4 linked regions of the Lepisosteus oculatus genome follow. The protein of the gene in region 1 purifies or fractionates together with the protein of each later gene. This does not show direct contact. Links are inferred from orthologs where the notes say so. Each region holds a gene or a part of one and is shown in the gene's direction. Other genes may lie near its edges.

What was found.
Region 2: the proteins of vps50 (region 1) and vps52 purify together in Homo sapiens (affinity purification with mass spectrometry; 4 studies listed by BioGRID and IntAct, counting the BioPlex papers as one, with this or other methods). This does not show direct contact. The link is inferred for Lepisosteus oculatus from reciprocal best matches to the Homo sapiens genes VPS50 and VPS52.
Region 3: the proteins of vps50 (region 1) and eipr1 purify together in Homo sapiens (affinity purification with mass spectrometry; 4 studies listed by BioGRID and IntAct, counting the BioPlex papers as one, with this or other methods). This does not show direct contact. The link is inferred for Lepisosteus oculatus from reciprocal best matches to the Homo sapiens genes VPS50 and EIPR1.
Region 4: the proteins of vps50 (region 1) and vps51 purify together in Homo sapiens (affinity purification with mass spectrometry; 7 studies listed by BioGRID and IntAct, counting the BioPlex papers as one, with this or other methods). This does not show direct contact. The link is inferred for Lepisosteus oculatus from reciprocal best matches to the Homo sapiens genes VPS50 and VPS51.

Annotation. Positions count from the first base shown.
Region 1 is NC_090705.1:4,851,598-4,859,557, reverse strand, and holds the start of vps50 (syndetin), read left to right. Parts: upstream 1-4,945; 5' UTR 4,946-5,063; coding exon 5,064-5,096; intron 5,097-6,394; coding exon 6,395-6,463; intron 6,464-7,960.
Region 2 is NC_090709.1:39,252,600-39,260,010, forward strand, and holds the start of vps52 (vacuolar protein sorting-associated protein 52 homolog), read left to right. Parts: upstream 1-4,402; 5' UTR 4,403-4,433; coding exon 4,434-4,514; intron 4,515-5,081; coding exon 5,082-5,169; intron 5,170-6,279; coding exon 6,280-6,332; intron 6,333-7,037; coding exon 7,038-7,113; intron 7,114-7,411. Other genes in the region: rps18 (small ribosomal subunit protein uS13), read right to left, coding at 505-606, 752-838, 1,803-1,901, 2,160-2,162. UniProt on the Homo sapiens protein: Acts as a component of the GARP complex that is involved in retrograde transport from early and late endosomes to the trans-Golgi network (TGN).
Region 3 is NC_090697.1:14,813,049-14,819,966, forward strand, and holds the start of eipr1 (EARP-interacting protein homolog), read left to right. Parts: upstream 1-3,901; 5' UTR 3,902-4,111; coding exon 4,112-4,153; intron 4,154-6,384; coding exon 6,385-6,468; intron 6,469-6,918. Other genes in the region: trappc12 (trafficking protein particle complex subunit 12), read right to left, coding at 76-192, 1,868-3,073. UniProt on the Homo sapiens protein: Acts as a component of endosomal retrieval machinery that is involved in protein transport from early endosomes to either recycling endosomes or the trans-Golgi network.
Region 4 is NC_090713.1:21,231,075-21,237,947, forward strand, and holds the start of vps51 (vacuolar protein sorting-associated protein 51 homolog), read left to right. Parts: upstream 1-3,871; 5' UTR 3,872-4,003; coding exon 4,004-4,177; intron 4,178-5,093; coding exon 5,094-5,223; intron 5,224-5,324; coding exon 5,325-5,471; intron 5,472-6,873. UniProt on the Homo sapiens protein: Acts as a component of the GARP complex that is involved in retrograde transport from early and late endosomes to the trans-Golgi network (TGN).

The DNA of each region.
Region 1 (7,960 bases):
TTATTTGTAATTCTGCCTGCAGGAAGATACACTCAGTGTTTGTCAAAGGATGGACACTTCAGTGAAACAACTACAGTATTATTTTACCACAGGGCAAACTGAAGACTGACATTGATGTATTTTCAGAAAAAAATAGAGCAATTTACAATAATGCAACTCACCTGCTCTGCTTGTTTTCACTTATCTGGATATCCCAAAACCCACTATTAAATACCATTTGGTTCCAAATTTGTGAGTGCTTGGATAGCAAAAGATAGAACAAGGAAAGCAGCTTGCTGAAATGTTGAAGGCGGAACTGTTTTGATGATGTCATGCTCCTGGCTCTCTCGGGGGTGCTGAAGGGCTCTGGCACCACACGACCAGCTGTTTGGATCTGCTGGATGGTCGTTCTTGCTCAGGTTTTGCAGATCAGCTGCTCAATGGTGTGACAGTAGATTCAAGTGTAGTGTGTGACCACATTTCTTCTATTTAAAAAGCTGGAATAATTTGCTGTTGTTAAGAATGACAATTTAATTTTAAGATTTTACCATTCTGGGAAATGAATGGTTAAAAGATACTTTATTTGGTTCTGTCTGAAACCTTACGGGGGGATTCTGACTTTGAGTCATTCAGTCATAATCCCACAGATGGCAGCTTCTCACCATCGTGTCCTCAGCCAAGCACAGACTCCAAATGTCTGAACCTGCGGCTCCTCTCATACTGAACAGGATTAACAATTGTGACAGCACAGCATCAGCAGGGAAAAACAAACCTGTTATTTAAATTCCGATTTAAAGTTTGATAAACAAAGCTTTCATGTCCCAGTTTACTTATGAAAACACTTTAGTTTTAACTATCATGTCTTGGTGAAGACATCAGAAAGTGATGTAGTCTATAGTTGGGAACTTAATGGCAGTTGATAACCTCACCAGTATGCATTGAATGGACCACCATAAATATAACTAAACACATAAATATGATATGTTCACTAGCAATTACTGCAAGGAAGAAAAGGTCCTCATTTTAACGTCTTTGGTTTAAGTACCATGCTATTTTATGTTTTTGTGTGAAGGTTTTTAGCATTGCGCTGCCTTTCTTGATAGTCTTAAATACCTTTGTCTATGCAACAATAAGATCAAAGGCAAATCTATGTATTCATTTTTATAATTTAAGAACCATTTTTAAAAACACCCTTGCCACATGGCGTATGTAGAGTAAGGCATTGCAGAAAGCTGTAGAGATGTGACACAAACATGAGTTTCCTCTTAATTCCTCTTGTTTTGGCTGTTTCCCTCTTCTCTGTTCTAACTTTATCACATTTTTCTATGGACCAACACTGCCATTTGCAAACCTACTTCAAAATGTTGTTAAATCCTTCTAGTGCTATACTAACAGTGTAAGGCAAATATTAACTAATAGACTGTTATAACAGATAATTTTAAAAGTATTTTTTTACTGTGAGTTGGTTGTGTCCGAGGTTCTTGTTTCTATTTCAGTGTCCTCAGGGACAGAAGGCTTGTCTGCATGCTGTGGTTTTGTTCCTTCCAGTTCTGCCCAGGGCATGCTGATACACAGTGGGATAGCAGGTGTACATGTGTCACTGTCCTGTTGGAGCCAAGGCTCAGAGACTCAAGAGCATCACACCCCTCAGGATGTGGTTTTGCAAAAATATTTTCTATGATAGACAGTTTTTCCATGGACATTCATAAAGTACACTAAGTGCACTTTAATAAGATTAAATATTTTGCCCTGTAGAGAAATAAAATTTTTCAATGATTTTTATTCTATTGCATCATTACTCTTTCTATTGATATTTTTGCAGATAAAACTCCGTCATTTTTCCTTGATTTGTCTTATAATGTGCATCAAGTTCACACTTCTGACCATAGAATTAGATACACTGCACTGCATCAGTGTTATTAATTATTAATTATTAATGGCAGATACAGCAGCATTTAATGTAGACAAGTGCAGTGTTTTGCACGCAGGTAATAAAAACCATATGTAATGTGTTCGCTGCTTGAGGCAGTATGAGCAGCAGTCTGTTTTCATGAGATAGGTAGCCTGAACCACCTGAGGCAGGCGTGATAGTAAACTGATTAGAGGTGGTACAGGTTTCCTGTAAAACTAGTCAAACTCCATGACAACCGATTTTAAATGGCAAATAAGTGGAAGTGTGGCCAGCTGCTGTATGAATACTAGCTTGGGTTGAGCTAATATTCACACAGCAGTGATGAGCATTACACTATACAGTACATACAAAATGGGAAGTATATACAAAATAAGAAGCACTGAGCTAGTACAGTTTCTTATGGAAAAAGCAAAAGGGTGTTTATTTGGACACATCTCTGACATTTTCCAGTCAATGTGGGAAAGCAAAAAAAAAAATAATTCAAACAAAATGTTAGGCTGTACAATCAAAAGTGATGTTATGTTCAAATTGTACAGTACATTAGTCAGGCCTTATTTACAACATTGTGAACAGTTTTTCTCACCACTTTACAAAAAAGATATTGCTGCTTTGAAGTCAGAGACAAGAAACCAGATAGACTCAAAGGACTGAACCTTTGAACAAAGAAGACTATGAAGGAATACAATATCCAAAATTATCAAAGGCACTGACAAGGTTAACCTGGCGGACTGCTTAAAAATAAACAGTGAGACACAAACCAGTGTTGAAACAAGTGGAAACTTCAAGAAATCGCATTTAGACACGGGAATGAAGACGCTACCTCACCCAAACGGTTGTGGGAGTGTGGAACAAGTTACCCAGCCATGGTGTTGAAGCTGATAGTTTGGCTTCTTTCAAGAAATGGCTGGATGAAATCCTTGGATCAATCATCTACTAATTACTAAACTAGCAGTACCAAATGAATTCACGCTCTATGGGCTGAAAGGTTTCCCTACTTTTTAAAATATTTCTTATGTTCTCATATTACCACTATAATATGCGCTCTTTAACCTTGTGTGCACGTACCCAGATTTTTACAACGGTCTCCCCAGAGATGTGCAGACTGCCTGGAAGAGGGACTCGTCATCAGCTGCCATTCCTGCAGATGACTGCAGAAGTCTTATTCTGCAGCCAGAAACCGATGGCGAGGCACTGCTATGACTTCAACTTCAAGGTCCACACAGACGCCAATAAGATGACCTGAACTCACTTACATCGTTTACAGAAAATACGTCGCTAATCCTATAATTCTGACCACCTGCCTAAGTGCACTGAACATAATATCAACTGAAACTATGAAGGCAGATCATGTACATTACACTTTGTTTAGATACAGGGAATTACTACTGGATATTACTGCTGAAAAGCCTTTCAAATGAAATATTTTGTAATTAGAACTTGGTGAAGGACAAAGGGTTAGACAAGCAGAAAGTGCAAGGTAAAAATGTATGAAAATAGTTATTCTTTTTATATTGATATTTTTATAGATTTTATTTGGCTCAAGTGAAAACAGCTATTCTTTCAGGCACTGTACACACTACAAGTGATACATATAAATACACCCCACTCACACCCGAACATATTTCATGAATTGTTTCGTGGAATGCCATCTGTTCATCCTGCATCGTGTTTTACGGGTGGTTGCAGAGGATTGCTTCAGCTCGGTAAACACCTCAAATGTCTGGCAGCCAAAATAAGCCTAGATTTGACTAGTAAATCATCTACCCTGTCATCACACTGGGATAAGGTAGCTCTCTCTCTGTTGCTAGGTGATATTTAAATTTTCAAACAAATGGCCTTTTTGAAAAATGACTTCACTGGGAAAGTCCAATCTGTTAACTGATGGCTTTTTTATCATCTTATTTATTACAAAATTTTAAAAGAAACCTAAATTCACGGCAGGGTACGGTACAGCATGCAAAAGGTGTATAGGCTGTAAAAAAATAAGGAACAAGTAATAGGTTTATTCCATGCTGAAAAAAAGAAGAAAGAGAACACAACGTTTCGGCCGTGGAGCCTTCTTCAGGTATCAAGGTGGAAGGCTCCACGGCCGAAACGTTGTGTTCTCTTTCTTCTTTTTTTCAGCATGGAATAAACCTATTACTTGTTCCTTTGCAGCCTACGCATGCTGACGCAGCTACCCACCTGTAAAAAAATAAGTTAACAAAAAGTAAAGATAACCAAGAATAATCTGTCAAATTACAACATGTAAAAAAGATGAATGCTGTAAAATAAAAAATACAAAATATAAATAATATTAAAAATAATAAATGAGATTTTAAGAAAAACTTTTACTTAAAGTCACTTTTATTAAACAGTTGCAAGACGGAAGAGCTGCGCTAGTTGTAAAATCCATCACTTGTCACTGAACAAGGGAGCTACCTGAGTAAACAGCCGCTAACAGCGCCATCTAGTGTTCACCTCATCCTTTGATAAAAGATGAACATTTTAAAGAAAATTACAGTCTTTGAATATTGGCGAAGGCGTTTACGACACTGGTCGGAAATGTTGTCGCTAATGGACTTTTTCCAAACAAGCAGTTGATTAGGCCTATTTAACTCAGACGCATGGAGATGCATATTGATTCGTTTTTTTGTGCTCCTTAAAGCCCAGTTCGCCAACATATATAAACACCCTAGGTTTTGTTTCCAAAATAAATAAAACAATAACTTCCTAGACATAGTACATGAGTGACTTGGTTAAAAAAATACAACAAAGCGTTTAAAAATCGCACACGTGTCTGTGTGGCTAGATATCAGTCTTTATCAAAACAGAAAAGCTGTATTCAAACAAATTTGCCTTGTGAAACGTTTAAACGTAGCGAAGGCAAAGAAAAACGGATGTAGCAGATTCCAACTCGCCTGCAATTTTACAGACTTTGACGGCAACCAAAGGAAAGTGGGCAATGTAGTCTCTCAATTTAATCGTGCTATGTCGGAAACTACGCGTAGGTATTCCGCAGAACTACATCTCCCAGAATACCACCCGGACTGAATTATTCATGTGATTGGATCTATCAAACATGGCTGTTCTGTATCAGTTCATGAATTGTAGGACCTGAAACTGGAGTTACACGGGAATGATATCAATTTGTTACCGACTCTGAGGAACGACGTATAAACTGTACACCAAAATGCAAAAGATAAAATCGCTAATGACCCGGCAGGTGAGATATAACGACAATCAGTTTGAAAAGGAGCGGTGCTCCTGGCTGAGGAGGCTGTGCACAGGTGTGGGTAAAGCTGGGTTTGTACTGTAAATGTTAAATGAGATGCGATTCACGATAAAAGAGAAACGGCACTGTGCGTGGTATGGGAAGCGGTCGAAAGCGATACGCTTAACATTTATCCTGAATGCACCATCTTGTTTGAAAATTAGTCGGTTTTATAGGTCATCATCACCTTTGAGGGATATAGAACAGACTTGCTAAACGTAACATACTTGAGATCAGGCAATAGGACTGGTGTAATAGTGATAGCGCTGTCCTGTTTTGTATAGTTCAGTAGCGCAGAACTGACTGAAATCTACCCCATGTCGTACAACAAGTCTTCCTCATCTCTTTTATGTTGATGATCTACGTGGAGCACATTCCGTAATGGAGTGCAGAAAGTGGGCGTACAGGGAAGTACTTTTTATCTCGGAATGTACTACATGTATGACTGCGCACGCTTTCGGATATCATGATTACATACATATATATTTATCATGAAATAGTAGCCAAGAGAGTGTTGTACTGTTTTAAGTTTTGAACATTTAGTAGCACAATATATCGAGATTGTTGCAAAACTACATTAGAAACCTCTCTATACTCTTGTGCTGTGCGGTATGTGTCATTAGTTACTAAAACTGTAATTACCATAACACGTTGTGAGAAAAAAATCCGATCAGAAAAGATCAGGCTTTCCAAGCTAGCTTTGCATTCCAAAGAGCCAGTGGACATTATTCTAGAATAGGCACTAATAGGGGCACTCATGGGCATCAATGACGATTACAAATTGACCCAGTAAAGCTTTAGAGTTTGAATGGTAGGCACAATTATGGAAGTGACACTGCATTTCTTGGTCAAATGTGGTGTTCTTTAGAGCATTAAAATATTTACATATGAGTAGGGGCAGTTGTAGTTATGGTTTTTAGTCGCTGAGTGATCAGAGGAACCCATTCAGCTGTTTTGTGATTGAGTGGCACTCAGGTTTGATGTGGTTGGGTAGCTCGTTCCAGACTTTCACTTCACTTTGTGCCCAAGAACTGCCTCCTGTTCCCAGTTTTAAGAACACTTCCCTGTAGTTTCCGTCTGTGTCCCTTGGTGTATATCCCAGGGCTGCCTGCCCTGTGATTTTAGAGGCTGTTAAATAGTTAAATATAAAAAGGTACGAGACAAAAGCATGGCTGTTCTGTACTGAAAGGTGAGTTGAAGTAAACAGCCCAGCCAGCAAATGGTGATTATGGTTGTTGTATGTTTTGTAGGGTCCCAGAAGTCCCCAGGAGAATGCAGGTGACCTCAGCCCTGTGGAGAACTTCAGGATTCCTAGCAAGGTATGGATATGTAGCTCTTATGTTGGTATGTATGTGGTACCTATCAGGACACCTTACCCGGTGTCCTGGCCAAATTTCCCATTGGCCCTTACCAATCATAGCCTAATAATCCCCCTCTATGAATTGGCTTCATTACTCTGCTCTCCTCCCCACTGAGAGCTGATGTGTGGTGAGCGTTCTGGTGCACTATGGCTGCCGTCGCATCATCCAGGTGGGGCTGCACACTGGTGGTGGTGGAGGGGAGTCCCCATTACCTGTAAAGCGCTTTAAGTGGAGTGTCCAGAAAAGTGCTATATAAGTATAAGCAATTATTATTATTAATAAGAGTACAAAAGCTATTTCCAAAACATTCAACCTGCATTAATCACCAGCCTTCAGGTCGTTTTTAAAAGGGGTCATTACCAGCTGTGCTTGCCAGTACAAACAACTTACAGTGAGGGTACCTGCTGGTTGTTCATTTTTCAGAGGTTCTGTGTTATTCTGAGTGATAAGGGTGGACTTATGCGAATGCCATGCTTGCTTTTTTTCTAGTGTCTTTTCTTTTTTTAGAAACAGCGTTACCACCTTGTAGCCTGTTACCACTTGTAGCTCAAGCTTAACAGGGGCTAGGCTGGGTCAGACCTGGGATGAGAGTTCACTAACAGGTGTGGCAGTGAAAGTGGCGCTGGTTCACCAGGAGGAGGTGCTGTTACCTCTAGATTTGAATGTCCAAACCAGCATCGCACTATGGCAACGTTCAACTGTAGGAGGTGCCATCCTTCAAAGTTTTATTTTTAAATGTATTATTCATTTTCCTTTTTTTCCTTTTTTTATACCATAGACTGATAATGAAGGCCAAATTGAAATTCTAAGGGCAAAGGGAGTACAGGAATAGACATAAATGTCCTCTTGCGTGGAAGTGTCTTACACAGACATGTCATATACTGATACTTAACCAAGGCTGGGCCTGGTCTGTGCTTGGATGGGAGGCCTGTAGGGAAAACGGGATTTGCTGTTCTAAGTGGTGCCGGTGACCAATGGGTAATTTTTACGGACCAGAATTTCCAAAGCAGCTTCCCATTATGGTTGCGGGTCACATTGTGCTGTAATGGGTGCTATCCTTCTGATGCTAAACAGGGATACTGGTCAGTTAAACTCCTCTCTGTGTTTGTTTGAGTAGGCATGTTAATCCTGGTGCCCTGTCCTGAGTTCCACTATGGGTTTGCACAATTTCGCAAACCTAAATGTCCCCTTTAGTTCAACTGGAAAAGCCATTTCCTACTTGGGCTGGTGGTATAGAATGATTACTAAGGAGTTGCTCTTCCTGGTGGGTGAAGTGGGCCCTTTCTTATTTGTAAAGCACTTCGTGTGGAAAGCGCTGTACAAATGGGCTAAATTGAACTTAAAATGTAAAAATCTAAATCTTAAATAGGCTATCATCATACAGTATATGTGCTCATGGGGGTTATTAAATGGTCACTACAGTGATCGACGTCTGAAGTTTTGTGACAGAACACC
Region 2 (7,411 bases), on another chromosome or scaffold:
ACCCCAGTGGTCTGTATAGCCTGCAGCCCCACAAGGGGGCACTGGAGAGATCCGTACCCCAGTGGTCTGTATAGCCTGCAGCCCCACAAGGGGGCACTGGAGAGATCCGTACCCCAGTGGTCTGTATAGCCTGCAGCCCCACAAGGGGGCACTGTAGATACCCCAGTGGTCTGTATAGCCTGCAGCCCCACAAGGGGGCACCGTAGATACCCCAGTGGTCTGTATAGCCTGCAGCCCCACAAGGGGGCACCGTAGATACCTGTACCCCGGTGGTCTGTATAGCCTGCAGCCCCACAAGGGGGCACTGTAGAGACCCATACCCCAGTGGTCTGTATAGCCTGCAGCCCCACAAGGGGGCACTGTAGAGACCCATACCCCAGTGGTCTGTATAGCCTGCAGCCCCACAAGGGGGCACTGTAGAGACCCGTACCCCAGTGAGGAGGGAGCAGTAACTGACCACAGGCCGCAGGGTGCTGCGCCCCCCTCAGGACACTGCAGTCTTACCTGGCTGTATTTTCCATCCTTGATGTCCTTCTGCCTGTTGAGGAACCAGTCTGGGATCTTGTACTGCCTGGGGTTCTGCATGATGGTGATGACTCTCTCCACCTGCCCCCGCCCCAGACACCCCAACACACACAGCAGTGAGCCCCCACACGTCCATCTAGACCCCAACACATCTCCACCTGCCCACCAAGACATCCCCAACTACACCCCAACACACACACACAGCCCCCTCTCCCCCCAGACTCACCTCGTCTTCGGTCAGCTCTCCAGCTCTCTTGTTGAGGTCGATATCAGCCTTCCTCAGAACAACATGGGCATATCGCCGGCCCACCCCCTGAACACACAACAACAACAGGGTCAGTCCAGCGCCCACCCCCTGAACACACAACAACACCAACAGGCTCAGTCCAGCGCCCACCCCCTGAACACACCACACTAGCAGGGTCAGTCCAGAGCCCACCCCCTGAACACAAATAACACCAACCACAGGGTCAGTCCAGCACCCACCCCCTGAACACACCACACCAACAGGGTCAGTCCAGCGCAAACCCCCTGAACACACAACAACACCAACCACAGGGTCAGTCCAGCGCCCACCCCCTGAACACAAATAACACCAACCACAGGGTCAGTCCAGCGCCCACCCCCTGAACACACTACACCAGCAGGGTCAGTCCAGCGCCCACCCCCTGAACACACTACACCAGCAGGGTCAGTCCAGCGCCCACCCCCTGAACACACTACACCAGCAGGGTCAGTCCAGCGCCCACCCCCTGAATACAAATAACACCAGCAGGGTCAGTCCAGCGCCCACCCCCTGAATACAAATAACACCAGCAGGGTCAGTCCAGCGCCCACCCCCTGAATACAAATAACACCAACCACAGGGTCAGTCCAGCGCCCACCCCCTGAACACACCACACCAACAGGGTCAGTTCAGCGCCCACCCCCTGAACACACCACACCAGCAGGGTCAGTCCAGCGCCCACCCCCTGAACACACCACACCAACAGGGTCAGTCCAGAGCCCTGAGCCCAGTCCTGACCCTGAGCACACAGCAGCTCAGTCCAGAGCCCAGTCCTGACCCTGAGCACACAGTCTACACAGAGACCCAGCAAGTCAGCCCTGACCCTGAACACACACCCTCAACACCCAGAGACACAGCAGGTCAGCCCAGAGTTCAGTCCTGACCCTGAACACACAGCAGCTCAGTCCACAGCCCAGCCCTGCCCCTGAACACACAGCGGGTCAGCCCAGAGCCCGGTCCAGTCCGGTCCACTCACAGCCCCGTGTCTCACCTTGATGGCGGTGATGGCGAAGGCGATCTTCCTGCGCCCATCGATGTTGGTGTTGAGAACACGCAGGATGTGCTGGAACTTCTCGGGGATAACGAGTGACTGCGGGTCAGAGAGAGACACAGAGAGACAGGGGGGTTAGCGGGCTCGGCTCGGAGGGAATATGGCCGGATCACACAGCACAGCAGCGAGCGCCAGTTTTAAAACAGACCCGCACCCGGTTCCGACCCAAACCGAGCCGCAGGGCCGGGCAGGGGTCCGGCAGAGGCTGCCCCGCGGCGGCCGGGGCGCCGGCGCCCCCGTGTGCAAGCGATGGCGGCGGATGCCTTGCCGGCTCCCCGGCAGCCCGTCTCCTCTCACCATCTTGTCCGCGGGTCCCGTCGCAAAGAGGCAGAGGCCGCGCTCTCGCGAGACTATATCGCGGGATCTCCGGGGAGGGGCTTCCGGTTCCGGCGCCCGACCGCCGCCGCCCCCTCCCGAATGCCGTCCGGTGGGGAAACACGGACCGAGTTCTTCTTGTGGGCCGCTGTCGCTGCCTTTTTAAGAGGACGGCGCTCTAAGTGGTGGTGGTGGTGGGGAGAAAAAAGAAACGGTTTTAAACGACTCCCCGTGATTCTTTAAAAAAAGAAAAGAAAAGGTCTTCCTTCGGTGCGGAAGAGAGCCGCCGGCCCGGCCCCTGTGCGGCCGGTGTGTCCCCAGGTTTTCCTTCCCCCTCGACTCTGAAACTCGGATCAGCTCGTCGGCACCTTCGCCGGACTGACTTTATTATTTAATATTTTGGTGCCCTCCGGGCCAGCGGGCGCTGGGTTTACGACGCCATTGGCTGTACTGTTGCGCGGTGCACTGGGGACTGACATGGCTTTCGAAGGCTGCGTGTTTCACTGTGGCGTTAAAAGCAGTTTCCCCCCTGATGGGCACAGAGGGGTCCGTTCTGCCTGGTGTTGGGGACAGTTTCCTCACCGAGAGAGGCGTTTGGACTGCGGGGTACCTTCGTGTGCGGAGAGCCACAGTTATACCCCACTGACAGGGAGCTGGAAACCCCTCCGCCAGCCCGGCCAGCCCGTCCGGGACCGGGACCGGGACCGGGACCGGACACAGCCGGTAGTGTTGGGTCCGTCCCAGTGTGTTCACACGATCCCGCCCCGTGTGTTTGTCCTCTGCACGAGTGCGAGGAAACGCTTCCGCGCCCGTCCGCTCCAGTCCAAAGACATGAAATAAATCGCCACAAACATCAACACGGAACAGCCGCAGCGACAACGAGAAGTTTAATAACACACGACTTGGATAACACATCCGTGTGAGCCAGCGGGAGGGGCAGAGTTCAGTAATCTGACAGCTGGAGGGGAAGAAGCCGTCTCTGAAGCTGGAAGTCTGCGCCTTTAATAATAATAATAATCATAATAATAATAATGAACTTTATTTTATATAGCGCCTTTAAGGTGGATGCTGCACATTGGTGGTGGTGGAGGGGAGTCCCCATTACCTGTAAAGCGCTTTGAGTGGAGTGTCCAGAAAAAGCGCTATATAAGTAAAAGCAATTATTAATTATTATTATTTAAAGGTGGCTTCTCAAAGCGCTTTACAGAATGACAGCAACAATAAATCCCCCCCAAAAATAGCTCCTATAACGCTGACCGGAGGGAAGGAGGGAGATAAAGTGAGGAACCGGGATGGCTGGTGTCCTGAACGATACTCCCAGCCTTCCTGAGACAGCGGGTAGTACAAATGCCCACCGTACAGGGGAGCTGAACTCTTTTTTTAGATTAAGTTTTTATTTAAACAGCAGAAATACAAGGGGGGAGACAAAATATTAAAACAGATACAAAAATAGACACTTGACAGCCGGAGGAATTCACAATTATAACAGCTAAAAATTAAACTTTTTACATAATTCCACGTGTTCCGACGGAGATTTTGCCTTTTGATTCTTTAAATGTCTAATCGAGTTTAAATAAAAAAAGAATTCTACCTTAAAAGCATTAATAGAGGGAGGATTCGCCAAAATAATTAACAGATTAATTACGAAGACGTATCGTTTATCCAAATCAGGTCTAATAAAATATAAAATAATATAAAAATCTCACAATTTAACATTTAACTTTAAATATTTAACAACAACATTTTGAAAATCTATCCAAAACAATTATGTATATATTTATTAACAATTAACAAACACACGTAACACAGATTCCTCATTCTCATTATTACAAAATACACATCAGTCATCTCGATCGTGTTTGAATCCAGAAAGTGTCAATTTAACCGGATAAAAATCTATGAACAATCTTAAATGTTATTTCTTTAACTTCATCTGAAAGACAGTATCGATCAGTATCATTTATTTTATATTTAAATATACATTTTATTGGAATATATTCCAATTTATTTTATATTCGAGTTCGCCGCATATGCACACAGCTAAAACTACATATAGAGTTTATAAATCTGAACATTGTCGTATGATGAAATGGTCCATCCCGTCCATGCGACATGTTCTTCACATCAGCTACGATCTTTACGGCAAAAAAATAATAATTCAATAATAATTCAATAATAAAACCCATTAAAAAAAACCCTCAGCGCAGAGCACGCCGGGAGGCGGGCGCGGGGGCTGCTGGGAGGCGGAGGACCCGGATGCGGGCAGTGATGGCGGCGGTGCTCCAGACTGCGGACGCCGGCCCGGCTGTCAGCGCCATGGCGTACCTGCAGGACGAGGTACGTGCAGCGCCTCCGCCCCGGGAGAGACACGGGGAGCGCCGGCGGGCGGCTCCTTGCTCACTCGTACGTGTGTGTGTTTGTATACACGTCCCTCTCCCCCATAGCCAGCTCCCAGCCTCTTACTGCTCACACAGGGGTCTCTCAGGGAGACAGGTGTGTGTTCCCCGTGTTACGGCTCTCCCTCTGTCTGTGTCTCCTCTCCCCTGTGTTAAGGCTCTCCCCCGGTCTGGCTCTCCTCTCCCTCTGTCTGTGTCTCCTCTCCCCTGTGTTAAGGCTCTCCCCCCGGTCTGGCTCTCCTCTCCCCCCGGTCTGTGTCTCCTCTTCCCTGTGTTATGGCTCTCCCCCCGGTCTGTGTCTCCTCTTCCCTGTGTTATGGCTCTCCCCCTGGTCTGTGTCTCCTCTTCCCTGTGTTTTGGCTCTCCCCCCGGTCTGGCTCTCCTCTCCCCCCGGTCTGTGTCTCCTCTCCCCTGTGTTACGGCTCTCCCCCTGGTCTGTGTCTCCTCTCCCCCTGGTCTGTGTCTCCTCTCCCCCATGTTACGGCTGTCCCTCGGTCTCTCTCCACAGATGAAGTCTGACCCAGATGACATTCCTGCTCTCAATCTGGGTGACCTGGACCTGACCTCTGACGAGTTCATCCTCGATGAAGTGGACAGTGAGTGTAGAGTTGTGTGAGAGTGTGGGCTTGTAGTGTGTGTGTGGTGTACACTTTAACACAGCGAGTGTAGAGTTGTGTGAGAGTGTGGGCTTGTAGTGTGTGTGGTGTACACTTTAACACAGCGAGTGTAGAGTTGTGTGAGAGTGTGGGCTTGTAGTGTGTGTGGTGTACACTTTAACACAGCGAGTGTAGAGTTGTGTGGGTTTGTAGTGTGTGTGTGTGGTGTACACTTTAACACAGCGAGTGTAGAGTTGTGTGAGAGTGTGGGTTTGTAGTGTGTGTGTGTGGTGTACACTTTAACACAGCGAGTGTAGAGTTGTGTGAGAGTGTGGGCTTGTAGTGTGTGTGGTGTACACTTTAACACAGTGAGTGTAGAGTTGTGTGAGAGTGTGGGTTTGTAGTGTGTGTGGGGTGTACACTGTAACACAGCGAGTGTAGAGTTGTGTGAGAGTGTGGGTTTGTAGTGTGTGTGTGGTGTACACTGTAACACAGCGAGTGTAGAGTTGTGTGAGAGTGGGCTTGTAGTGTGTGTGGTGTACACTTTAACACAGTGAGTGTAGAGTTGTGTGAGAGTGTGGGCTTGTAGTGTGTGTGGGGTGTACACTTTAACACAGTGAGTGTAGAGTTGTGTGAGTGGGTTTGTAGTGTGTGTGTGGTGTACACTTTAACACAGCGAGTGTAGAGTTGTGTGAGTGGGTTTGTAGTGTGTGTGTGGTGTACACTTTAACACAGCGAGTGTAGAGTTGTGTGAGTGGGTTTGTAGTGTGTGTGTGGTGTACACTTTAACACAGCGAGTGTAGAGTTGTGTGAGAGTGTGGGTTTGTAGTGTGTGTGGTGTACACTTTAACACAGCGAGTGTAGAGTTGTGTGAGTGGGTTTGTAGTGTGTGTGTGGTGTACACTTTAACACAGCGAGTGTAGAGTTGTGCGAGTGGGTTTGTAGTGTGTGTGTGGTGTACACTTTAACACAGCGAGTGTAGAGTTGTGTGAGAGTGTGGGTTTGTAGTGTGTGTGTGTGGTGTACACTTTAACACAGCGAGTGTAGAGTTGTGTGAGAGTGTGGGTTTGTAGTGTGTGTGTGTGTCTCTAACAGTTTCTGTGCTCACAGTCCACATCCAGGCTAATCTGGAGGATGATCTGGTGAAGGAGGCTCTGAAAACGGTAAGACTGACCCCTGACCCTGACTGACCGCAGACTCACTGACTGACAGACTGACCCTGACTGACCCCAGACTCACTGATCCCCTGACCCCGACTGACCCCAGACTCACTGACCAACAGACTGACCAACAGACTGACCAACAGACTGACCAACAGACTGACCAACAGACTCACTGACCCCAGACTCACTGACCAACAGACTGACCCCAAACCCGAGACTCACTGATCCAAGACTCACTGACCCCCTGACCCTGACTGACCCCAGACTCACTGACCAACAGACTGACCCCAAACCCCAGACTCACTGACCCCAGACTCACTGACCCCAGACTGACCCTCTCTCCCAGGGTGTGGACCTGAGGCAGTATTCACAGACACACTGACCCCAGACTGACCCTCTCTCCCAGGGTGTGAACCTGAGGCGGTACTCACACACACACTGACCCCAGACTGACCCTCTCTCCCAGGGTGTGGACCTGAGGCAGTACTCACACACACACTGACCCCAGACTGACCCTCTCTCCCAGGGTGTGGACCTGAGGCGGTACTCACACACACACTGACCCCAGACTGACCCTCTCTCCCAGGGTGTGGACCTGAGGCGGTACTCACACACACACTGACCCAGACTGACCCTCTCTCCCAGGGTGTGGACCTGAGGCGGTACTCACACACACACTGACCCCAGACTGACCCTCTCTCCCAGGGTGTGGACCTGAGGCAGTACTCCAAGCAGGTGGAGGCGGAGCTGCAGCAGATCGAGCAGGCCTCCATCAGGGACTGTATCCTCTCTGGGCCCTCCCCTCCTCGTGGGGGGCGGGGCCTCGGTCACAGCAGCACCACTGAGATCGCAGCTCAGCGCAGGGGGGGCGGGGCCTCGGTCACAGCAGCACCACTGAGATCGCAGCTTGGTGCAGGGGGGGCGGGGCCTCGGTCACAGCAGCACCACTGAGATCGCAGCTCGGTGCAGGGGGGCGGGGCCTCAGGCATGGAGCCTTCACTGAGATCGCAGCTCAGCGCAGGGGGGGCGGGGCCTCGGTCACAGCAGCACCACTGAGATCGCAGCTCAGCGCAGGGGGG
Region 3 (6,918 bases), on another chromosome or scaffold:
GAATTTCATATATTTTATATATCCCTGACATGCACCAACAATTGCTAGTGTTCTAATGTTTCAGCAAACACTCACAATTAATTGCTTCAGGCCCTCAAAGGATTGATGCACGGAGTTTGCCGTTAAAGCCTCTCTCTTCGCAGCTGCTTGTTCCCCCAGGAACCTCAGCATGAGATCCTTGACAGCATCTCCCTGAAACACAAAGTCCAAAGTACAAAATACAGAACTTCCACACTGAACTGACTAATGCTTAAAATTCACCTAGTGTCACAGTTTACTGATGACCATTAAATATAATTTAATCCTTTGCTACAGAAGGTGTATTTTATGTTTCTAGTTTGTTTCTAATACCTCATATATACACATGGTAATGCCACTGGGGGCAGGGTCCTCAAGGGGTGGTATTTTGTCCAGAGAGTACTGACTGCTTTGCCCTTACCATGATGGCCAACAGGAGCTGTCAAACATATAATAGAGGCTGCTGGCAATCGGTAAGAGTGAGAAGCAGCTAGATGCCCTCACACAGCCCATATAAGCTACTGTAACTACCAAACTGGCAGCACAAAGAGAGAGTGGTGAGAGACAGAAAAGGGATGGCAAGAGAGCAAAGAGAGGCGAGTGGTGGACAGTGGTATGAACCAGTACTCTGTGTGACATTACTACCACTGACATTTGAAAATGTGAAGAATGGGTTTGTTTGGCGGTGTCCCAATATGTACACTTGCCATCTTGTGTACTTCATATGCATGCTCCTGCTAAAGTCTGCAAGAGCTTAGGATTTCACATTTCTAAATCTGTGTTGCAATTTGTGTTCTCTGAAGTCCGCAGACTTCACTTAGGAATTACCCCCAATTTCTTATGGAATGGTGACGTTTCATGTTCTAACCTATCAAAACCATGTTGCCATGGAGAATAAAATATTCATGTGCTAGTAAATATACACTTTTTACAGTTTTAAAATTCTTAATATTTTATGTAAAAAAAATAATTAGGCTACTTTAGATTCATACTTTATGTTTTCTGGGTATGAAGTTTTGACATAAAGCTTTTATTTTGTCACCTAATTTTGACGGATGAATATTCTTTTACCTGTGGCGTATTTTGTACACAGAATATATAATAGTACACATAGTTATTAATACAAAGCTTTGAGGTATTGCCAAGTCAACCTTGTAAAACTGCAAACGGCGAATGAGAAATTCTTTAAACAAAATCTGCCGACATGCACTTGGAATAAAAGCATCAACAACAGAAAGCTTTTTGACCTTGACCAGTGTAACTAGTGAGTGCCATTACCCTTTTTATAACGATGCACCCTCGACTACTCTCGCACTTGAAGTCCACACTTGCTCTATGTCACAGAAGTGTGGACTTTGAATATGGGCTTACGGAGACTATTGGGACATGTCCTTTTTTGTGCGAGAGCCAGTAAGCAGCTTCTCTGCTGGGCTTAGTAGTTAGGGACAGAGAATAAGTAGTAGCCAGGAGCCCAACGAAGGGATAGGTTTTCTTTGTTGTTTTCTTTAATGGTGGTTGATGTACTTCTCGCACACTTTGAATTGCACAGTCAAACCCTATGGCTTGGGTTGGGTGTGTCTGTTGCATGCCCAATGATGACACTGCCCCTTGCAGCATCACAATATATATATAAAATGATCAATATTGTTGGATTATCTATTTTTTATATATTTTCATATACATTCAATTCAATTTATTTTTATATAGCACCTTTCACAACAAGGTTGCCCGAAGGCACTTAACAAAGCTGTGTGAAAATACATGACATTACAATACAATGTCATGTACAAATATATATATATATTTAATATTTATATGTAATACTCCCTTTCCCTTTAACAATACTCACCTGAAGATTGTCAAACTTCAGCCCAGGCATGGAGAGCTTCTCTTTTCCCAGGGACACAGGGCTGTATTGCTGGGTTGCAACAGAAATCAAGACCTTCCTTGTTTCATCTGAGGGAAGCCATGCGTCATACCTCCTGTCAATTTCACTCATGTTCAGGGCAGTTGCAAAAGGGTCATCCCTGCCTGGGAAGGTGGCCTGCATCTTGGAGAAAGGATGTGCCACTTGAGCAGCACCTTGTGGAGCAGGTGATTCCAGGGGTGCAGCAGCAAAGAAAAATGTAGGGGTACTAGACTCCTGTTCCACAGGTCCAGGTGGAGAGGAAGGCTGTAGTTCAGGAGCTGGAAGGCGCGAGTTGGCATTTGGATTGCTGACAGATATGAAAGAAGATGAGGTTGTAAAAGAATCAAAGAAGTCAGTTGCAGGGTTGGAGCTCCCATTGTCAGCAAAAAACTTGCTTAAACTGGGGCTGGGCTGGCAGACCAGAGGGGCAAGTTTAGTTGGGGTTTCAATAGCGCTGCCAAAACTAGGAGACTTAACCAGCGCAGGCTCAAAGCCATCTGGCATTAAGGACTGTGTTTTAGGTAGATTACCTTGACTGAAAATAGTGCAAACTGGGATTGGCTCATTCTTTGACTCCTTGTTTGTGCAAACATCTGTATGTTGGACCTTGGCGTTTCCGATATCAGATTCTTCCTGCATGGGCTGGCTAGGGATTATTTCCCTTTCACTTCCTTTGGTTTCTTCTTCGAGGTCCCACTGCTTCTCATCTTGAACCGCAGGGGTCACAGTCATCTCTTCAGGGTCACCTTGGTTTTCGATTATAGGTGTCTCAACATTTTGCATGGTTTTCTCATCACTGCATTCGGTCTCTTTTGATTCAAAGTCTCCTCCTTCTTCAAACTGCTCCAGCAGAGATTCCATCTGGCCAGCATCATCTTCACTATTATTCGGAGAGTCTGATATCATGACACTCTCCATCATCTGATCGTTAAGTTTATCTATGAAATTTTCTGAATGGCTCTCTTCTTGTGGTGTGACAAATGACTCCAAATCCAAGTCAATATTTTCCTCTTGGAAGAAAATTTCTGGAGGTTGGCTTTCAGTTTCCTGGGCAGATGAATCTTCATTTCGTTCACTGCCCATTTCCCCAGCAATATCCAGTGTTAGAGATGCCCGATTTTGAGCTTTTGAACTATTGCCTTCCATTGCTTTTTATCCCTTTAAAAGAAACAGTGAATTAATAGTATAACAAAAATCATTTACAATATATCTAATGGGAAACAAGGGCTAAACAATGAGTAAATAGTAAAACTAAAAAGAAGAAAAAAGATAAACACAAAGAAAGAGCATCATTATCCATTTAACAAAGTACATTAACGCCAGTACAATTCAGAGAAAAATGATCTGACTTTTAAGGTACCTTTAGTTTTCTTTAAAAAAGTGCAATATTTATCATGCAAGTGTCATCGACCACTCCAAAATAACAGAAATAAAGCGCTAAAACATCTAATTTATTTTAGAATTTGTGAAATAAACCATGCAAAAACAAATACAAGTAAAACTTATTCGTTGATTATATTAAACCTCTCATTAAAATTCTAACTACTGTAATTCATAATCCAATCATCAAATGCATGATATATTTTGATCTTGTTTCATATTGTTTCAAATATCTTCTAAGATCAAACGCACCGAAGAGTTACATGGGTTTGAAAAAATAAATTCTCTAGCTATATAAAACCAAATAGTGTAAAGTAACGTTAAAATCAACACCTCCTACCTATATTGCACATTGTAAATCAAATATAAGTTACAGTTGCACAAAACTGTCGTTTAAACAACACAAAAAATAAATACAGCAAGTTTATAATATCCAGAACTTAAAATATTAAAAGCTAAATACTGTACGTCTGGTTTACCTTTTCCTAGATGACAGAAGAAGAAAACAGGCACATGCGCACAACAAATAGGAAGAGAAACCAACGGAAGCCGAGGTATACCAAATGCCCTCGAAAAGTGTCGTTTTGTATTCCTGAAAAACTTTACGATCATTTGCCGGGGAAACCTGTGCATTTGTTTTGTGTTATGGTAAAATAGCGTAACAAAATTAGACGGAACATTCACAATATTTTTGTGGTTCGCGGAAATGTTAGCTTAAAGTGATCGATACCTTATATTGCGTGAGGACAGAATCAATGAAACTGACGAATTAAACGTTAGCGTGAAGTGTTAAAACGTTTAAATATGGAGGACGACGCACCTGTTATTTATGGCCTTGAATTTCAGGTACGTACAGATAAAACGTTTCCTGAAATGTGTATAACTAATAAATAGTCCTTGCACATAATAATGTATTTAAAAGTGATGAGATACATTTTACTCAGAATGCAAAACATATTTTATATGTAGAATGCAGAACGTTTTTTGTTCTATAGTCACTAGAATTCCAATGAAGGGATGCAGTTGCTGTACATTTCTTGCTTTCCTAGATTCATTTTTACGTATCGAATTAGAGTCCATTACGATAAGGGGGGTATTTTTCACAGGCATTATACCGCATATGACAATATACTGTAACAAATGATCTTCGTATTACTTTGCACGTGATAATTTTTCAAGGCAAGACTTAGTCTTAGTTAATTTATTACTGTAGGTTACATAAAAGCAACCAATGTGTTACCTAGTCAAATCGTAAAATCCATTAAGATAAGCTGTTAGAAAGCTTCACATTTCTTGCAACCAAAGAACCAAATATTTCTATATTCATTCGAAGGTGTGTGCTGTTTTGAATGGCATTCCATTATAGTGCCTATCAGTGCCTATCTTCCTTGCAAGATCTCTCTCCATTTAATGGGCAGGAGAGCTTCTGTATGCTGTTGAATTTTTAGTTAATGATGTCCTGTGGAACACTCGCTTCTCGATTGGAGATGTTATACATGTGTTTATTTCTTTGATATTAAGCTCTTCAGTATGCAAAGTCATACCATATGATATGTCGTTACTTTCTTAATAATTAAATACTGATTGTAGCATTATGTAAACGGATGCTAAAAACAGTAGTTAAGTTTACTGGACTTAAGTATTTAGAACTTTTTAGAATTATTTAGAATTTTAGATTTAGATTTAAAATCAATTAAGCGACGTAGTGGAATGCCTGATGTGAGATTTGTGAGTGTTGTTAATGAATCTTTATTCTAGTTAATGATAATAAAGATTCCATTTAAAAGGAAGCCGTGTGTGTGTGAATAGGTAAAATCTTGGTTGTGGTACAGCAATTACAGTACATCACTGATAACTGGGATTGAAAAGGAATAGTGAAGAATCTTGCATGTTCCTGCATCAGATCGACTCTTTCAAGATATTCTTTGATATCCGTCCATCCATCCACTGCCAATGGCTCAGCCTCATAAGTGTCATGGCAAGCAGGAGTACATGATTGCTCTGTCTTTGGATAGGATCCTAGTCCTCCACGAAGAGCCCTGGAGAAAAGGGACAATTTAGCCAGCACTGGATGTCCATGACATCAGCATGACAATTTTGAACTGAACAAGTTAGCATGTCTCCGTGATGCAGATGTAAGCCTTCCTGGGTGAACAAAGCTGCTGTCAAGTGTGTCGAAATTCTGATGTGCTGTCGTCTTGCAGTGGGTATGAAATTAGTCAAAATGTTGAGGGCTTTTTATCGAGATTGGGTTAGGTGCAGTCCTTAGTGTGATTAGTTACTTGATGCTTGATCTTCTGTGTGACTTACATGGCCATAGCCGTACAGGAAGAACAAGGTGAGGCATTATTGATATTTGTAAGCTGTTGGGCATATCTGTGCATTCCGAATGTACTGTAGCACTACAAGTGGGACACCTAAAAATGTTTATGTAAGTGCTCTATTTGAGGAGGCAGAAAAATCTTAAAGGTTGTGTTCAGGTCTTGTGAAGATTCAGTTTAATAGTTCCTTCTTCAGACACCCATTACAAGACATTAATCCTTATTAGCGTAAATTTATTTGTTAATGAATACAGCTAAGTACGCCAGCAGAATAGTTAATGTGCCACTGTCATATAAATCATTTGCTCAAACTTTATGTGTTGAGCAACCCACTCTTTGCTTGTTTTAAAAGCTGCTTTGGTCCAGTTCTGTCCTCAGCACCTGACAGATTTAAACTCCAATTACTGTATGTGTGAAATACCCTTAACATTAAAGTCCCAGTTATTTAAATTATTTTACATTGTGTAAAATACACAAGTGCAACACCTTTGGTAGCAAATATTTTGGCAGCCTTGAAGGCCAAATAAGGATAAAACGTTTTGTATTGTCCAAATCTTTTCAGTTTTTTTCCATCTTTATCTTAAACAAAATTCTTAACGTTTCTTTGTAGTTTTCTAGCATTTACCTGTAGTTACAGATTTTCTGTCCGTCATTCTCAGTTACAGTATCTGCAACATTAACTAAGAACCTTTGTTTTAGGATGACACGCTGAAATATTGAGCATTAAACCTGTTGTTGGGAATTCGTTTTTTTCAGGCTCGTGCTTTAACAGCCCAGACAGCAGAAACAGATGCAATTCGCTTTCTAGTTGGTACTCAGTCTCTTAAATTTGACAATCAGGTGAGTATGTACTTATGGAATGAGGAATGAATAAAGGATGGGGGGGTTAATACGAATACAGTAAGAGTGACATTTCCTCTTGGATGACTCATGACTGCAGCAGACCTCCCTAGTAAGTTTCAACCACTTTTTTATTTTTAGAATATTTTGGTAGTCTATGGCACCAATCCCTCTCTGCAGTCTTAGTAATAACTTTTATATAATCCACTGCATACTTTACAACTTTGAGTCTTTTGGTGATTTGTAAAAGTATTATACATACATTATACGTAAAGGTTTAGCTGAAATTTTAAATATTGTAGTATTTCAAAATGTTACTTGTAGATTTTATTCAGTATGAGGTTGACTCTTTGTGTTAATAAGAATATTGATGTTTTTCTAAGATGAAATTTTATGTACATAGTAATATTATAAGTGTGATTGAATTTTCGAACAAAACATTTTCAGATA
Region 4 (6,873 bases), on another chromosome or scaffold:
ATGGGTCAGACTGTGGTGCACTGGGAGTCTGATTGGCAGCACTGTCACACCTGGAGCGGATCAGTCTGCTGTGCAGTGGGAGTCTGACTGACAGCACTGTCACACCTGGAGTGGATCAGTCTGCTGTGCACTGGGAGTCTGACTGACAGCACTGTCACACCTGGAGCGGATCAGACTGCTGCGCACTGGGAGTCTGACTGACAGCACTGTCACACCTGGAGCGGATCAGACTGCTGCGCACTGGGAGTCTGACTGACAGCACTGTCACACCTGGAGTGGATCAGACTGCTGCACACTGGGAGTCTGACAGCACTGTCACACCTGGAGCGGATCAGTCTGCTGCGCACTGGGAGTCTGACTGACAGCACTGTCACACCTGGAGCGGATCAGTCTGCTGTGCACTGGGAGTCTGACAGCACTGTCACACCTGGAGCGGATCAGTCTGCTGCGCACTGGGAGTCTGACTGACAACACTGTCACACCTGGAGCGGATCAGTCTGCTGTGCAGTGGGAGTCTGACTGACAGCACTGTCACACCTGGAGCGGATCAGTCTGCTGCGCACTGGGAGTCTGACAGCACAGTCACACCTGGAGCAGATCAGTCTGCTGCGCACTGGGAGTCTGACTGACAGCACTGTCACACCTGGAGTGGATCAGTCTGCAGTGAAATATTTCCATTCTCCAGTATCCCTGATGGGTAGAATGCCTGAGAGGTGGGATTTCCTCACCACTCGAGTGACACGTCTTGCCCCCCACATGTCTGCATCCACTGTGAGACGCAAGCCCTTCCTCTATTAAATATGAGTCTCCATCACCACTATCGAACGAGCAAGCCTGATCACGCCTACGCCCACAGGTGCCCTGTGCTGTAGTTATGACCCAGCTGCTCATCGTCCTACGTGCGTCCTTAAAAAATATATTTACAGGCAATTTTTTTTTGTTTGTTTTTACCCCTGTTTTATGCTGAATCGTAGCTCTTCCTGGAAGGGGAGGAGGGGGAAGATGTGTCTTTATTATCCAAGAGACAATCAGATCGCGTACATACAGTAAGTGCCTTGGGGCGCGCTGAAGCCCAGCTGTTGAGTCGCGCGGATCGCTGTTATTCCAAGGGAAGAGAGGAGATGGCGGTGGGGGTCTCCTGGAGGCCAGAGCTCTTAGCTTGGCCCTGGGGGAGTAGGCGGTGGCCCTGGCTGATCCGTACCCGGATGCTCCACCAGCTGCCCCCCCCTGCAGGCCACACGCCCCCCTCCCCCATCCCTGCAGTCGTTCGGTCACGCAGTCTGGCCTCCTTATCCCCCAACATTCCCAAATACCCAATAAGCCGGATTAATACCGTACGGGACAAGCACTCCCCTCCTTCCTGTCACTAATCCTTCCGTTGTTTCACTACGTTACTAAACCAAAACTCTATCCCACTTCCTCACTGTAGGGTTACTAGAATTTACACACTGCTTTATATATATTTTTTTTTTTTCCTGGTGAACTCTAAAAGTGGAAAATCTTATTAACGAGTTTTAACAGATTGTTTTTTTTAATGCGATTATTTAAAATGGCGGATGGTGAGATTATATATTGATGCCTTAAATATGCCTTACTCGGACCGCACAGAACTTCTGACTGCGTCTCTGCAGAGATCGCGGCTCGTGCTGTCCGTTTCTGTCGATGTTGCGTGTCTTTTATGACGGTCACTTCTGTTTCCCCGATCTGTTTATGTGTCTGATCTCCAGCTCTCTTTTTCTCTATCGGCTGTTTCTGTCTTTGCCACGACACCTGTCCTCCTGTCTGTCCCCGCCTGTGGTCTGCCTGAGTGATGGGATCTGTCTGTATCCCTGCCTCTGCTTCTCTAATCTTCTTCTAATCACAATCCGGTCCTGAAGGGCCCGAGACGCCACCAGGTTTTCGTTCCAGCTCAGCTCTTAACCACTTAAACCAATCAGGGGCTTGATCTGCTTGACCAGATCCTCCCAGTTCTGCAGGAGCTGGGACACCCCCGCAGGTGCGGCGCCCCCTGCAGGACGGGAGCCGCGCCACCTTGCTGTCAGGACCCGCCCTGCCCTCGCGGAGGAGCTGTGGGGCCTGTGATCCCCAGCTCCAGGATGCTGGCCAGGTGGGAGATGATGTCGGGAAAAGGGGGTCCGGAAGGCGTCGTCTCGTCTAGAGTTAAGCCCAGAGATCTAACCGAGTTCTGTTCTAATAAAAAGAGATTTTCTTTTTCCACTAAAACGTTCTTTTCCCTGTGTGCCGTTTGTTCTCAGCCTGTCGTCCTTGTGTTTGCGCTGACGCACCTGCTGGTCTTCATTAGATACCTGCATTTTATTAAACTCACAAAACCCCTTCGCATTCATCCGACTATCACGCTATTAATTGTAATTATTTATGGATAGTCTGTTTTTATAAAGCTCCTTTCCAAACCCCAGGGCGCTGTGCAACGCGCTAAGGAGAGAAAAAAAAAGGAATCTTGTTACTGTGAAGTAAATGAAGGGTTTGCAAAGGAAGAAGTAAAAAGTTTATTCCAGGCTGAAAAGAGAAGTAAGGAAACAACGTTTCGGCTGTGGAGCCTTCTTTGGGTGTGAAACGTTGCGCTTCCTTTCTTCTCTCCCCAGCAGGGAATAAACCTGTACTTGTTCCTTTGCAGCCCACGCCTATTGGCGCAGCCCCCTGCTTGAACTGACGAAGGGTTTGGTTGTGTCCCCGAGGGCTGGGCTGGAACGCAAGCCTGCAGGTGTAGGGGGGGTCACCAGGCACGGGACGGGGAACCCCTGCTCTTAGATAAGAGAAAAGATCACTTCATTGGCCATGAATAGTTTCTTGCATTAGGAATTTGTCTCTTTGCAGACCCCAGCTTGCTCTCCATGAGACACACAGACAGGGAGAGAAGCTGGGGGTCAGAGCGCAGGGTCAGCCATTTATACAGCACCCCTTGAGTAGTTGGGGTGAAAGGCCTTGCTCAGGGGCCCAGCGGAGTGGGATTCCTCTGCCGGCCGCGGGATTTGAACCGTCAACCTCCCAGCCAGAGGCACAGATCCTCAGCCACCGCTCCGCAGACCCGGGCACGAGCAGGTCCGGGCACAGGGTTATTCTGCTGTGTGTTGCTCTTCTGATCTTAATTGGTTAATTGGCCCGAGTGTCTGGGTGAGAGGTCCGATCGACCATGTCTGTAGGCCTTTGGGGATCAGCTGCTGGCAGCCGAGCGCTTGTTCCCCAGGGGCAACAAGATCCCATCCCACCGGGATCGGCTTGGAGTTTCCCCGGAAATGAAGCCTGGAATCTCCAGGAATGGGCCCGGGAACACTCAGGGAGACAGTTGATGTAAAGACTCATTTTCCTCAAGGGACAACCCTCCTGTGGACCTGAGCGTTAGGTTTTTCCAAAGGGACTTCAGAGATACAGAAGGGTGGTAAGTTTAACGGTATAAAGATAGGGCATTGTTTTCAGCACATATGGCATAATGTCTAGTAATGTCATAAATGTTTTGCACGAATGGGATCAGGATTATCGAGAACAGGAAACTGCAATGGTCTGTATCACATTTGTACATCACCGCTGGGATAAGAAGGCATTCTAATAGTTTTAGAAAGTTTTGACATTATTTAAATTACGTGTGGAGTCCGTTAGTCGTCGATGTTAAGCCAAATCACTTATGTAAAAAAAAAAAAGGATGTATTTGAAAAGACATCAATTGCAAAAATCTTTTTTCCCCCCTGTAAAGCGCTCTGGGAAGCCACTTTTAAAATCGCTATATGGAATAAAGCGCATTATTACCAATAATTATAGAAGCTGAAAATGACGCTTTTTACATAACCGGCCAATAAGGTGGGAGACGGAGACGGGGCGCCTCCGGATGACGTCACCAATGGCTGTGCCCCCTCCCTTCGGTGCGTAGTACGCAGGTTCTGACGCGTCACCCTCCTCCCGGAATCTCTCCCGGTCCGGTCCCTTTTTTCCGGGTCCCTGACGGTTGCTCGCGCGAGTTTCTGGCTCGGTACCGCCACCGCCGGCCGAGATGGACTCGGACCCCGCCGCCGAGGCCGCAGCGGGCCGCCAGCGCCGGGTTCACGGGATGCTGAAGCTGTACTACGGGCTGAACGAGGAAGGCAAACCCGGGGAGAGGTGCGAGTCGCTGGATCCCTGCGACATCAACGGGCCGCACTTCGACCCGGAGGTCTATCTCAACAAGGTAATAATAATAATAATAATAATAATAATTAATAATGGAGCTGGTAGTGTTCACACCGTGACTGTCGGAGAGTAGAGATTGTCTTTATTCTATCCCCAAAGGCGGCCTTGTTTTGCAGCAGCAGGCGGGGGAGGAACTGGAATTCGCGGTGTATTAGGATGGCGATGATCAGGGATCAATAATATTACATTAACTAGTGTATTAGAATGCACCAGCTGTCCTCCTGGTGTGACAGGACTGGACCTGAACCACTGGACCAGCTGTCCTCCTGGTCTAACAGGACTGGACCTGAACCACCGGACCAGCTGTCCTCCTGGTGTGACAGGACTGGACCTGAACCACTGGACCAGCTGTCCTCCTGGTCTGACAGGACCGGACCTGAACCACTGGACCAGCTGTCCTCCTGGACTGACAGGACCGGACCTGAACCACTGGACCAGCTGTCCTCCTGGACTGATGGGACTGGATCTGACCCACCGGACCAGCTGTCCTCCTGGTCTAACAGGACTGGACCTGAACCACCGGATCAGCTGTCCTCCTGGTCTGACAGGACTGGACCTGAACCACTGGACCAGCTGTCCTCCTGGTGTGATGGGACTGGACCTGAACCACTGGACCAGCTGTCCTCCTGGTCTGACAGGACTGGACCTGAACCACTGGACCAGCTGTCCTCCTGGTCTGACAGGACTGGACCTGAACCACCGGACCAGCTGTCCTCCTGGTGTGACGGGACTGGACCTGAATCACTGGATCAGCTGTTCTCCTGGTCTAACTGACTGGACCTGAACCACTGGACCAGCTGTCCTCCTGGTCTGACAGGACTGGACCTGAACCACTGGACCAGCTGTCCTGCTCTTGTGACAGGACTGGACCTGAACTGCCAGCCCAGCCTAGTTACCCCCTATGTGTGTTTCAGCTGAGGAAGGAGTGCTCCCTGTCCGAGCTGATGGACCAGGAGGCCTGCATGGTGAAGCAGATCCGAGCCCTGGACAGCGACATGCAGACCCTGGTCTACGAGAACTACAACAAGTTCATCTCTGCTACAGGTCAGCGGGGGCAGAGGAGGGGAGGGGGGGATCTGAATTGAGAACCGGGGGGGGGGTGTTTTGGGGGTATGATCAGCATTTTCCTTCGTCCTCTGCCCCAGACACCATCCGGAAGATGAAGAACGACTTTAAGAAGATGGAGGACGAGATGGACTGCCTGGCCGCCAACATGGCCGCCATCACGGAGTTCAGCGCCCGCATCAGCGGCACCCTGCAGGACCAGCACGTGCAGATCACCAAGCTGTCCGGTACCGTCTCACTCTCCCCGGCCGTCTCACTCCTGCTGCACTGCGCAGTACACAGTACGCTGTCTCACTCCTGCTGCAGTAAGGTCACTCCTGCTGCAGTCCGGTCACACAGCCTCACTGTCTCCCCGGTGACCTGTCTCTCTCCCCCAGGGGTCCACACCCTGCTGCAGTCCGGTCACACAGCCTCACTGTCTCCCCGGTGACCTGTCTCTCTCCCCCAGGGGTCCACACCCTGCTGCAGTCCGGTCACACAGCCTCGCTGTCTCCCCGGTGACCTGTCTCTCTCCCCCAGGGGTCCACACCCTGCTGCAGTCCGGTCACACAGCCTCCCTGTCTCCCCGGTGACCTGTCTCTCTCCCCCAGGGGTCCACACCCTGCTGCAGTCCGGTCACACAGCCTCACTGTCTCCCCGGTGACCTGTCTCTCTCCCCCAGGGGTCCACACCCTGCTGCAGTCCGGTCACACAGCCTCGCTGTCTCCCCGGTGACCTGTCTCTCTCCCCCAGGGGTCCACACCCTGCTGCAGTCCGGTCACACAGCCTCGCTGTCTCCCCGGTGACCTGTCTCTCTCCCCCAGGGGTCCACACCCTGCTGCAGTCCGGTCACACAGCCTCGCTGTCTCCCCGGTGAGCTGTCTCTCTCCCCCAGGGGTCCACACCCTGCTGCAGTCCGGTCACACAGCCTCGCTGTCTCCCCGGTGACCTGTCTCTCTCCCCCAGGGGTCCACACCCTGCTGCAGTCCGGTCACACAGCCTCGCTGTCTCCCCGGTGACCTGTCTCTCTCCCCCAGGGGTCCACACCCTGCTGCAGTCCGGTCACACAGCCTCGCTGTCTCCCCGGTGACCTGTCTCTCTCCCCCAGGGGTCCACACCCTGCTGCAGTCCGGTCACACAGCCTCGCTGTCTCCCCGGTGACCTGTCTCTCTCCCCCAGGGGTCCACACCCTGCTGCAGTCCGGTCACACAGCCTCGCTGTCTCCCCGGTGACCTGTCTCTCTCCCCCAGGGGTCCACACCCTGCTGCAGTCCGGTCACACAGCCTCGCTGTCTCCCCGGTGACCTGTCTCTCTCCCCCAGGGGTCCACACCCTGCTGCAGTCCGGTCACACAGCCTCGCTGTCTCCCCGGTGACCTGTCTCTCTCCCCCAGGGGTCCACACCCTGCTGCAGTCCGGTCACACAGCCTCGCTGTCTCCCCGGTGACCTGTCTCTCTCCCCCAGGGGTCCACACCCTGCTGCAGTCCGGTCACACAGCCTCGCTGTCTCCCCGGTGACCTGTCTCTCTCCCCCAGGGGTCCACACCCTGCTGCAGTCCGGTCACACAGCCTCGCTGTCTCCCCGGTGACCTGTCTCTCTCCCCCAGGGGTCCACACCCTGCTGCAGTCCGGTCACACAGCCTCGCTGTCTC